Linked DNA regions of Xenopus tropicalis. The protein of the gene in region 1 purifies or fractionates together with the protein of each later gene. This does not show direct contact. Links are inferred from orthologs where the notes say so. Each region holds a gene or a part of one and is shown in the gene's direction. Other genes may lie near its edges.

Region 1 (3,651 bases):
ATGAGAACCGAAGCCTAAAAACGAATGTGCCTTATAGTGCTGTAGTTTATATACTGAACTTAATGTACCAGCCGTGAAGTCCAGGCGTCCTATAACTGTAATGATCCAGGCCTTAAAATAGCTCCCCATTTTGGTTCTTGTTCGGCCATCTTTTTGTGTCAGTGACACTGCACATGCTCAGTGTGCTCTGGGCTGCTGGTGAGTAGCTAAGCTTCCGACAGCAGCCAAGATTGTGTGCTATGAGTTAGCAGAAATGAAAATGGGATGCTATTGCAGGCATGTTTTTTTTGGAGGAAGAGCCCTTTACTGCTAGAGGCCAGTGGTGGCTGAGTTGGACTGGCCCACTGGGATACTGGACCCTGTGTCGCCCTGCCACCTACTCGCAAGCAAGCGATCCCAGCCAGCACGACTCTGCTGCCATGTGTTCCACTATGGAATGCACAGTAAAAAGTGGAACAGGAACAGCGGTTTCTGGGTGGTGGGCCCTTGAGTTAGGTTCCGAGTGGATCATTGGTCCCCCAGTCCGACTAAACTATTCCAACAGTGACTTCTGAAACAGGGCTTGCAGTGTCCCTGAAGCAGATGAATGCTTATAACTTGTAACTATAAGAAAAAAAAACATCTTCATTCTCTCACTTCCATTTTTGTGTTCACAGCAGTGGTTTCAGTTTCAACAGTGTATCTTCTGCTCCTGTTACAACCTCTGCCATGGGAGGCAGCTCTGCAGGTAACTCACCCTGGAAAATATATATATTACTGTTCTTGTTCTGCTTGAACTACTATCATGGTGATATGATGGACTGCAATTTTCTTTCCTTTTTCAGGTTCTGTTACCGCTGCAAGGGATTCCAACCAACCATCCTCCTTTGTGTTTGGAGGTACCAGCAAGTCTTTATTTGGTCCTGGGGCAGAAGGATCGTTTTCTTTTGGATCAGTTAAAACTGCTTCCTCCACCTCCAGTACTTCCACCGTGGAATCCACATTGGGCAAACCTAGTGTTGTTACAGGCGTGTCATCCTCATCCACCGTTACTAGCACTGCTGCAGCCATCGGCAAACCCGGGGATGGCCTATTTCAAGGGTTTTCAGGTGGAGAGACTTTAGGAAGCTTCTCAGGCCTGCGTGTTGGTCAGGCTGATGAGGCGTCCAAGGCAGAAGTTGCCAAAGCGCCCCCTGCTGCACAACCAGTCAAGTTGCCCAGTAACGCTGGTTTGTTTAGTTTTAGTGGAGCTCCGCAGCCAGCGAAGGCTGGAGAAGCACCATCCTCAACCGGCAGCACCTCTGGTTCTTTATTTGGAAATGCGCAGTTAACAAGTACAGGATCTGCAGCAAGTGCATTCACCCAAAGTGGCAACAAGCCAGCCTTCTCTTTTGGGCTGCCACAGAGCACTGCCGCTTCAACGGGAGCTACCTCTGCAGTTCCGGCCTCGTTCCAAAGCCTCCTGGTTTCCACAGCTCCAGCCCCAGCAACAACAATTCCTTCAGCTCCTGTCAACAGCGGACTGGATGTTAAGCAGCCAATAAAACCTGTGTCTGAACCTGCAGATTCATCCACTTCCCAGCAACAAGCACTGACCAGTCAGTCAGTTGCCGAACAGGTTGCCACAGTGACTCCTGCAGCAACAACTGCCACTGTTTTGCCCCCACCTGTACCAACTCTTGCAATTCCTCCCACAGCTGATGCAAAGGTAGAAGGAGCGGCGGTTCCCCCTCTCTCTACCTCGGTCATTTCAGGTCAGAATGTAGCTTTCACATCCACAGTGGTTGCATCTCAAACCCCTTCAGCAAGTACCCCGGCTGTAGGCCTTTCCTCCCAGGTGCCAGTGCTGGTTACAAGTGCACCCCCCGTTGCTGCTGCTGCTCCCGCTGCAGAAAACACACAGACTGTATCTCTACCAGTACAGCCAACTGCTGCAAGTTCTGCGTTTCCTCAATCAACTGCAAGTGCAGCGTCCACTCCAGCAGCGGTGTCCACCCCAGTATTCGGCCAAGCCGTAGCTTCTGGTTCAACTCCCTCTCCTTTTGCTCAGCCGACCAGCAGTTCCGTTAGTACAACAGCCAGTACAGGATTTGGCACATCTACATTTGGTACGACAGGTGGGAGCGGAGGCTTTGGACAGCCCTCCTTTGGCCAAGCTCCTTCATTGTGGAAAGGTCCTCCCAACTCCCAAAATACTTTTCCTTTTGCACAGCCTGCTTTTGGGGCCCAGCCGGCTTTTGGGCAACCACCAGCATCAACAGCTACATCTAGCGCCGGCAGCCTTTTTGGCAGTGCTGCAAGCACAAGCAGTGCTAGTTCCTTCTCTTTTGGGCAACCTTCCAATACTAGCGGCACATCCACTTCAGGAGGACTCTTCGGACAAAGCAGTACTCCAGTCTTTGGGCAGAGTGCCACATTCCCCCAAGCTGCCCCTGTGTTTGGAAGTGCCAGCTCCTCTACAACCACCACCTCATCTTCTGTGTTTGGTTTTGGCCAACCAGCAGGTAAGGGTGTGTCACCAACCATCCCTTTTTTTGCTATAAATGCCTTCAAATATATGTACCAGTCAATAATGGTTTCTGCTTTTGTAGGATTTGCTTCCGGCTCTTCTGGTTCCTTGTTCAGTCAGTCTCAGAGTGGAAACACCAGTGTCTTTGGACAGGTAAGGATTTGTGTGTTTATCGTAACCTACACACGTACCATGCAAACTGAGAAAACACTGTTTTCTCTCACATCTCGTTGGGTGGGGACAGGAACAATGGGGTATAGCTTGTATGACTTGGAGGCAGGACACTAGAGGAGAAGAAGCACCTCCATCTTAGTTATACCCCCAAGCTCAGCTGCACATGGACCAGTTTTTCTAGTGTCCTCAGGAGGTTAAGATCTCGTCAATCAATCATCATTGTGGAAGTTCCAGACTTATCTGGACACCAGAGGATGTTCCTATACTGCCTATCCTGGGTAGACTGTTGTTCTATGGCTTCCCCCTATGTGGGATGAGTTTAGGCACCACTTTTCCCTTAGTTTTCTATGCTTTCTGCCTACTTACAGCAACTTTCACAATGCCCCATGTACTGTTAGCTTCAGAGCTGATGCCACAAGAGGATAAATTCACAGTAAACCCCAATGTTTAATTGCTTTCTGTGCTTGGGGTCTATAATATAAAGGGCCTTGCAATACACATGTGCTTCCCATTCAAGCTCCTTAAGGGTAAAGACACACTGAGCTACTAGTAGCAGCTACTTTTTCATGGCTACTGAGCTACAGAAAATCCCCTGCCATAGACAATACTGAGAATTGCCTCTGCTAAAACACACGTATAGACAATTATTAGTAAATGATCAGCATTGTCTATTTTAGTAGCTATGACAAGTAGCTGCTACTGGAAGCTCTGTGTATCTTCACCTTAATACCAATGTGAATGGTTCACAACAGTAGCTTCTGTTGTACCAGGACAGGAAAGGGGTGGCCCATTTGAGTACTAGACCAGCAGTAAATGATTATGATTTAAAAGTTCATGGGACCGGGGTGGCCAAATTAAAGTACAGGAATGAGATGGGGGGGACCTGCCCTAGTTCAGTTTGGTTTTCCTTTCCTGACTGCCAATAACACTTTCCCTTTGTCCTTGCCTAAACAAAAGCAAGGGACTGGTTCTCATCTAATGGGATTTAT
Region 2 (4,416 bases), on another chromosome or scaffold:
CGAATTACTTTCCGACACTCTCACACTTCCATGATATGAATAGAAATTGCTGTAGTTTCTCCACGATTTTTGCAGGAGGGTTTCTATTTTAACCTTAGACATGTCAATTCTTTGAGCAAACCAAAGGACAAGCGAACACACTTTTATACCAAGCGCTTAACCATATACGCATAAAAAGGAAACCAACAATAGTCCCGTCACCTTTCTGTAGGTCTCCTTCCAAGGAGGGGTAGTTCCCTTATACAAAGCGCGATGCCTCCTTTCAGCCTCCATCACAATAAACAAATCACCAATAACTTCCAAAAGCGCCGCCTAGTAAAAGCTTTTAAATACTTCCTTACCACGTGACGGTGCTTGATACTTGCGCGGTGTATGACGGATATTGTAGTCTTTATGTGTAGCAACTGTTGTGGCGTGTGTTATTTTTGTTTCTTTAATTTCACGCATGAGCTACTTACAAGTGATTGTTTTGAAAGTTTTGGTTATAATGTAGAATTATATTTTTAGACTACAGAGCTCTGTATTTGAGACATATTGATATCCTGATGTTTTCAGGCAATGCAATATTTTCCCACAATGCAAGAGTATTGTCAGGTACCGCAAAGTACCTAAATATTTAAGCTTGGTGTAGTGGCCGCAAACATTTGTGTTGTTTAGTGAATTGTGTATATTTGGGTACAACGTGCATCTTTGACATTTTGTGTGGCGAGCAGGCAGAACGTGTAATAAACGTGTCAACTACCCCTTTTATTAAGTTAATGCTCGACTCTGGGCATTCCCCATAGGTAATGAAGCCTGCTTCTTCACTTTTATATGAATTGCTGCATGTAATACACCACACATGCGGCAATCCAAGGTAATCGCTCAAAATGCATTTTCAGGTGATTACCAGGGATCGCCCTGGTAATCATTTCTACAATACTCTTGTATTTGTGTTTGTTTTTTACACTGGCTAACACAGTGCTACCTTTTTTGTTTTGTGATTTTCCATGTGGCAATTCACACAACCACAGCAGGGCAGGTAGTGTCAGCTGCTTCATTGCCCATGAGAGTGGAGATCTGCTAGCTAATGAAGCACCCCGTGTGCGAGTACCTTATCAAATTTTCAGGGCAGGAAAATAGATCGTACAGTCCTTAAAAACTTTAATATTAGAGTGTAAGAGATTTTGGAATCAGTCCTTCCTTTATTTCTAATAATAAAAAGCACCTCCAGTCTAAAATACTTCTAATGGAGACTTTGTTTCACTCAATTTAATAGCTATTGCTTAGTTTAGCCAAACAAGCAGTCTATAATTCCTTGTGACAATATACCTTCTGCTAAGCACTGCAGCTATGAAATACGGATGAAGAAAGGGATGTTCCATTTATGTATAATTAAACGCACGCAGAATAATGTCATGACATTTATGCTGTGCAGTACAAATCCCTGCAAATTTAACGGGAAAATATCTCAAGTCCTATGCTAGGGCTCCAGACCAGAAACATACTGGGAGCCCCTATTGGCTGGTTCATTATAGCGCGCATAACTTGCTGATATTAGACAAGGGAGGGTGTTAGAAGCCGGCAGACGCATCTGATTGGTCACGTCCCGCAACGTCACTAGTATTAGCCAGTGCGGGGGTTTTGATGGTGGAAGTGAAAGATGGCGGCGGGGGAACATTGGCAGAGCTCGCTTAGTGAACATGCGCTCTTCTCCCGTCTGAAAGAACGGACGAGGGAAGTCGAAGAACTTAGGGAAGAGGGTGAAAGGCGGACAAGGAAAGACAAGCAACTGAGGAACTTGCTGTGCGTCCTCGATGGAGATCTATTGGTGTGGGACTCGGAGGAGTGCGCCTTTCTCACTGTCAGACTGAGGAGTCTAAGTGTGGAGAGCACAGGGAGCAGTGGTGAGCAGGTAAGTGAGCCAGGTATCATTCCAGCACTTGTACAACTGAGCATGGTAGCTGCCTGCTGAGAGATGTCTATCCTAGGCCCCTTCATTTATTGGTGAACTACTACTGCTATTGTCGTTATAACAGCTAAAAGTTGGTGATGTTGTTGGGCCTCAGGTTCCCCATATGGCTTGGACATTTCTAGCTCCTCTGACCTTCCTTTTTAAAGTAAATAACTTGCTGCTTCATTTACTGAGTGCCCCCTAAGAATGTACACCAATTATCTTCCTTTTGAAGACAAATTACAAATGTATTGTCATGGCTTGTTTTCATTTTTGTCTTGTTAAAAGGAATGGATGGAATTACTTGGGGAAATACTGGCCTCCGTTACCTTTTTTTTTTTTTCCCCCTTATCGCAACCCTAGACACTGGTATTTAAAGGACATGTAAACCCCACACACACAAATTTAATCAGAGAACAGCCTCCTTGAAATCTTTCAATACCTGCCACTCTGGTTGTCCAGAGGTTAATCGTAAGGCTGCAACATCTCCTTAATCACTTATATTTCCTTCTCCTCCTGTAACCCACTCAGCCCCCTCATCAGGAATTTGCTTTGACTTCTGGTTTGTGGGCATGCTCAGTTGTTCTAAGCTCAGATTACTAAACACACACCCCAGTCTAGCAGCCAGAAGAGATGGCATTGCTGGTTCCCATAGAAACTCAGCTCTAGCTGTCTGCTTTAATTTTTTTCTCCTAACCTCTTCTCCTGAACTCAGCTCAAACAAAGCAGAACTTTTATCATAGACAGTTGTGCCTGTCTGAGCCTGTATTCTTGATGAAATGTATGCTGAATAAGGGTCTGTGTGTGTATGCTGTTTGCAGATTTAAATGTATCTGATTATGTATCAGAGGAAAACTGGCCACCGGGTGAAAGCTGCTATTTGCTTCAGGAACATGTGATGGTGCAGGCAAACAGAGGGGATATATGCAGTACAAATGATGCCATTTGGGTGGGGGAGACGTGCCCAACTGATATACATTGTAGGGAAATGTAGGCTTTACATGTCCTTTAAAGTAAGCAGCTGCTCACCAGCCCACTAAATAGTGATTGGCATCTTACAGAAGCCTCTCTGGCATTTGCCAGAACCCACAGTTTGCCTAGTGCAGACTTAGACTTACACATGTGTCTTAGAGTAACATTTGTCTAATGTGCATGCACAAATCTAAGTCTAACCTGAATTTTAAAATGCTGTTTGGTTATCAAATTAACTCTGAGCTGCAGTTAAAAAAGTGCAAACATAAGAGAGAAAACACACACTAAAAATAAATAGATTTGATTTCAGTTTTGTCAATTTAATGGTTTCTTTTCTTATTGTAATAGAAACTGCTTTGTACAAATCCTCCACTTTTTGAAGTTAATGAGGTGTTGCTAAGCCCCACACAACATCATGTTGCTCTGGTTGGAAGCAAAGGAGTGATGGTGCTGGAGATTCCTAAACGCTGGGGAAAGAAATCTGAATTTGAGGGCGGTGAAAAGACAGTGAACTGCAGGTAATGTATCTCATTTATGGTAAAATAACTTTTAGCGATGTAGAAGTAGAACTTGATTATATATATATATATATATATATATATATATATATATATATATATATATATATATGTGTGTGTGTGTGTGTGTTTTTGATTCCTGTTTCTCTTTGTCTTCTGATGTGTATACTAGTCCCCATAGGTACTTTTGCATTGGTTGTAACTGTGCAGAGCTGATATATGTTTGGATAAAAACCAGCTAAGCTTTATGACAAATATAGCCCCTCCAAACCTTTTGTTAATAGTATACCCCAATGCACCATTTACAGCACTTATAGAGACAGATTTATTGTTTTTTATAACACATGGTTAGCAATGGCTGCAAGGAAAAATGTGCATATGTCGACACAACTAATTGACAGCACATTCTTTATTGTCTTTTTTTATTGGCTATATATATATATTTCTTATATATATATATATGTCCTCCCACACATTTGAGTCTGATGATGGCTATGATAGTAGTTGTCCAACCAACTGAACCAAACACCACATTCCTGTCTCTGTGCTGAGTTGTGAAAAACAGCAGATATGTTGATGATAGATGTTTTTGCACTGGGGCAATTTTTCACTCTAGGGTTTAAATTATTACTTAAAGGAGAAGGAAAGGTGGCATCACAGGGGGGTGGCAAAATGTTAGGCACTCCCTAGGCTGGTGCGCCTATTAGCAGACAATTAAACCAGCTGTGGGTACATACAGGCGAGTGATCCTCTTCCCTTCCCCTTTTGCTGCGATCCTGGTGCCCACACATGCATAGTATAGTCAAAAACCAACTGTTTCGTTAAAGTGCGGCTTTTAATTCTACTGTGCATGCATAGCTGGCACAAAGAAAGAAGACTGAAGAGGATCTCTGGCCTGCATGTACCCTGGGCTGGTGCATTTTTTTGATAACAGGAGCACCAGCCAGGGGTATCAGGTAAGTGAATACAATCACAAGGGGGTGCTTAACATTT
Region 3 (3,651 bases), on another chromosome or scaffold:
GATGTTTTGGTCTAGAATATATAACTGTATATAATGGCTATTCCTTTAATGTAATAAAAGGTGGGTAGTTAGAAGTGGGACTTGTATGTGAATCTTCTAGGTGGCTATCATTTTTTCTTCTTGCCTAGGACTTTGAAGAGTATCCAGAGCACAGGACAAACTTTTTCTTGCTTCTTCAAGCTGTGAATTCCCACTGCTTTCCTGCATTTTTGGCTATCCCCCCAGCTCAGTTTAAACTGGTGTTAGATTCTATCATTTGGGCCTTTAAACACACAATGAGAAATGTCGCAGATACAGGTAAGGTATATGCTTGGCTAAACAAGAAAAATATAGTTTTAATTTCAGTCTACATTGTACTTTGGTAGTATAAATGGAAACTACCCCTAACATTGGAAGATGTACTAACTATAACTATCTCTGTGGTCATTTGTTTTAATATAAATTTGCAAAAGACCAAATGTTATATAGAAGGTGCATATAACGCCATGGATTTGTTTTTATGAATTTATAGCCACATAATGTCCACACTTAATAATATATTTATGTCAGTGGATTGTCAAGTGGCAGGCAGTGGTATGGTTGGGCAAATTCTCTGTAGCATTGATTTCCTGTATTGATTTTCCTTCTCTCCAGGTCTACAGATTCTATACACCTTGTTGCAGAATGTTGCTCAAGAGGAAGCTGCAGCTCAGAGTTTCTACCAAACTTATTTCTGTGACATACTTCAGCACATATTCTCCGTTGTAACAGACACATCACATACTGCCGGTACGTTTTATATTGGCCTTATAGAGCTATTCACGATTTAGGACAGCCCTACTAGGCATCTGAAATTTAAAAACCTCATTGCTTTTACACAACTTGTTGCTCTCCCTATTGGAGCTGGTAGTTCATATACATACTATGACTGTTAGTCTACATTAGTTTAATGCTAACTCATTTTCTTTTGGTTTTATAGGGTTAACAATGCACGCATCAATTTTGGCATACATGTTCAATCTAGTGGAAGAAGGAAAAATAAGTACGCCTTTGAATCAAGCTAGTCCTCTTAGCAACCAGCTATTTATTCAAGAATATGTGGCTAACCTTTTAAAGTCTGCATTTCCCCACTTACAAGAGTGAGTATGTTAAATATATGACCATAAAGAAAAGCGCCTTTTATTTTTGTTGTTTTTTTTTTTTTTTAAGACAATAGGGATATTATGTGACTTAATGACAAAAAAAAAGTTGTGTTGGGTTTTTTATGGTATGTGATTTTCAGCTCAGCAGACACCAGAATTCTGGAAATTTCCCTTCCTTTGACTTCAGTGGTATTTTAGTGAAACCTGTCTTGAGCAAAAGCTAAAGGGCAAAACCCTAGAAATCTCACCATGTACCATTGCTTCTAAAGACTGCTAGTTTATATAATGTGATACATATATATAGGCCTCTTATTAAATTCATGATGGCTTTTAAGTATCTGGTTCTCTCGGGATCACTTGGGCCATAAAACCTCTTGAAGGGTCAGATTGGCTCTGGACATTAAAATGAACTTCCCTAGGGGATAATGGAAGTAAGCAGGACACGTTTTAACAGAAAAGCTTTCATTTTATTTTCTTATCAAAGTGCATTATTTCTGAATACATTGACAGTAATAAATGCAAAGTCTTTTCATATGTCCAGGTTTGGTTTTATATTTTGCTCTGAAATCTGCATATTTTGTGTGGGCTTTATACAGTAGAACCTCATTTTTCTGTGCAGAATGTCAGATAGAAATCTATAGGAATGTATAAAATCTTGGTAGTTAATCAAATGTGACTTTTTTCTCTCTGTTCTCTTCAGTGCACAGGTTAAACTTTTTGTGACTGGCCTCTTCAGTTTAAACCAGGATATTCCTGCATTTAAGGAACATCTTAGGGACTTTCTTGTACAGATTAAGGTATGTTGTCAGTGTATTTCTTTCCCTGTCCCCTTCCCCCTCCCTTTACTGATAATTTTCTGTTTTTAAACTTATGTTTAGCTTCACAGTTGTAACTGGAGAAAATGTTTTTTTTTTTTTGTGTATATATTTTAAGACTGTAATGTAATGTAATGCAAAATTTGCTAATTCAGCAATTTATTTCTCTGACGAAGTGACATGTTACATATTGTATTTTTATGTGCAGGAATATGCTGGTGAAGACACCTCTGACCTGTTTCTGGAAGAAAGGGAATCTTCCCTTCGACAAGCCCAAGAGGAAAAACACAAACTCCAGATGTCTGTTCCTGGCATACTTAATCCACATGAAATTCCTGAAGAAATGTGTGACTAGTTTTTAAAAGTCAACTTAAGCCGTTAACTTCCCTCTTCCCGCTAAACATCCAATTTGTTCAGGAAAACATCACTTTGATTATTGTTGACCAAAATGATGCCAATTTGTAAATTATAATGTCACCTAGTGGCCCTTTTTCTTATTATGCGTTTTTGTATAAGAAATTTTCTGTGAAATATCCTTCCATTGTTTAAAGCTTTGGTCATCTTTAGGTTTGCATGACATTAAGGATTTTTTTTCCTTTTTTAAAATTCTTTCATGCCCATTTTATGGCTTTGGGGTTGAGGACAGAAGAACTGATTCAGAACTTGTATTTAGTTAGGTCTGCTAAAATGTAATTCCTCCCCATGAAAGACACATACTTTTTATGAGTTTTTTTTCCCTTTTTCTTTCATATTGATTTTGCAGCCTAGAAGGAATTTCAGTTGATAACAAATTGACTTGTGTAGACAAGTATGGCACTGCTGCATTCGCTGAACAATTAACCGTCATTTAGGGTTGAGGTGGGCTAGACATACATACATACTACAAGTTGAACAGAAGATAATTGGTGCAGCAAGATCATGTGCATATCATCCCATTGTAAAGTGACTTCAGAAAGTATGGGAACACAGTACAGTTAGTTATTTTTACACAGTTTTTTGTTTTGTGTGTGTGCTGTCGCTTTGTCGACAACAGCTTTTTGTTTTCCTCAATGAGGAGTGTTGCTCATTTGTGAGCCTTCATTAACGAGAAGTGAAATGGTTAAAAATATTTATCCTGTTAGAATAGGCTTGCATCTTTTTAACAACTCATAAAACTCTGGCTTTTGAGATGACTTGTACTAATTTACATTGTTTACCATGCTGTAGTGCTTTAAGAACACTACTACTTAAAAAGCAAAATAAACTTGGTTTACATTTACTTGCTTTATTGTCTGTGAATAATTGCAAAATAATACTACTTAAGAATAGAGTAAATCCAGAATTTTGGGATTTGGCCAATACTGAATCCTATGCACAAAATGTTGCTATTTTTTTTACATTTGTATATTCAGATTTGAGAGAATTCATAATTGCTCTTTGGGGAGGAAGTGCATTAAGAACGTTAATATTTTATTTCTGTCTTTCTGAATCTGGCTTTATTAAAGACCTGCTGACATTAATAGTGGCAGCAATCAAATTGTTGGTTACGCCAGATTTGTCTGGAGTTATATTGCACTGCAAATTTATTAATGGGGAGTTCTGGTTACTGCACTTCTGTTTATAGGGAGATAAATGGCTGTACAACGTCTGATAAAACAGCACAAGTTCACACAACGAAGATTGCTCAAAAGATCTATGTAGGTGGCTAAAAAGGTAATTATAGATGCTTGATTAGC

What was found.
Region 2: the proteins of nup214 (region 1) and nup88 purify together in Homo sapiens (affinity purification with mass spectrometry; 6 studies listed by BioGRID and IntAct, counting the BioPlex papers as one, with this or other methods). This does not show direct contact. The link is inferred for Xenopus tropicalis from reciprocal best matches to the Homo sapiens genes NUP214 and NUP88.
Region 3: the proteins of nup214 (region 1) and xpo1 purify together in Homo sapiens (affinity purification with western blotting; 4 studies listed by BioGRID and IntAct, with this or other methods). This does not show direct contact. The link is inferred for Xenopus tropicalis from reciprocal best matches to the Homo sapiens genes NUP214 and XPO1.

Annotation. Positions count from the first base shown.
Region 1 is NC_030684.2:12,374,787-12,378,437, reverse strand, and holds part of nup214 (nuclear pore complex protein Nup214), read left to right. Parts: intron 1-656; coding exon 657-727; intron 728-824; coding exon 825-2,483; intron 2,484-2,570; coding exon 2,571-2,641; intron 2,642-3,651. UniProt on the Homo sapiens protein: Part of the nuclear pore complex. Has a critical role in nucleocytoplasmic transport.
Region 2 is NC_030678.2:105,084,294-105,088,709, reverse strand, and holds the start of nup88 (nuclear pore complex protein Nup88), read left to right. Parts: upstream 1-1,581; 5' UTR 1,582-1,642; coding exon 1,643-1,894; intron 1,895-3,253; coding exon 3,254-3,423; intron 3,424-4,416. Other genes in the region: rpain (RPA-interacting protein), read right to left, coding at 202-273. UniProt on the Homo sapiens protein: Component of nuclear pore complex.
Region 3 is NC_030681.2:33,578,899-33,582,549, forward strand, and holds the end of xpo1 (exportin-1), read left to right. Parts: intron 1-128; coding exon 129-297; intron 298-633; coding exon 634-768; intron 769-958; coding exon 959-1,118; intron 1,119-1,821; coding exon 1,822-1,918; intron 1,919-2,144; coding exon 2,145-2,291; 3' UTR 2,292-3,194; downstream 3,195-3,651. UniProt on the Homo sapiens protein: Mediates the nuclear export of cellular proteins (cargos) bearing a leucine-rich nuclear export signal (NES) and of RNAs.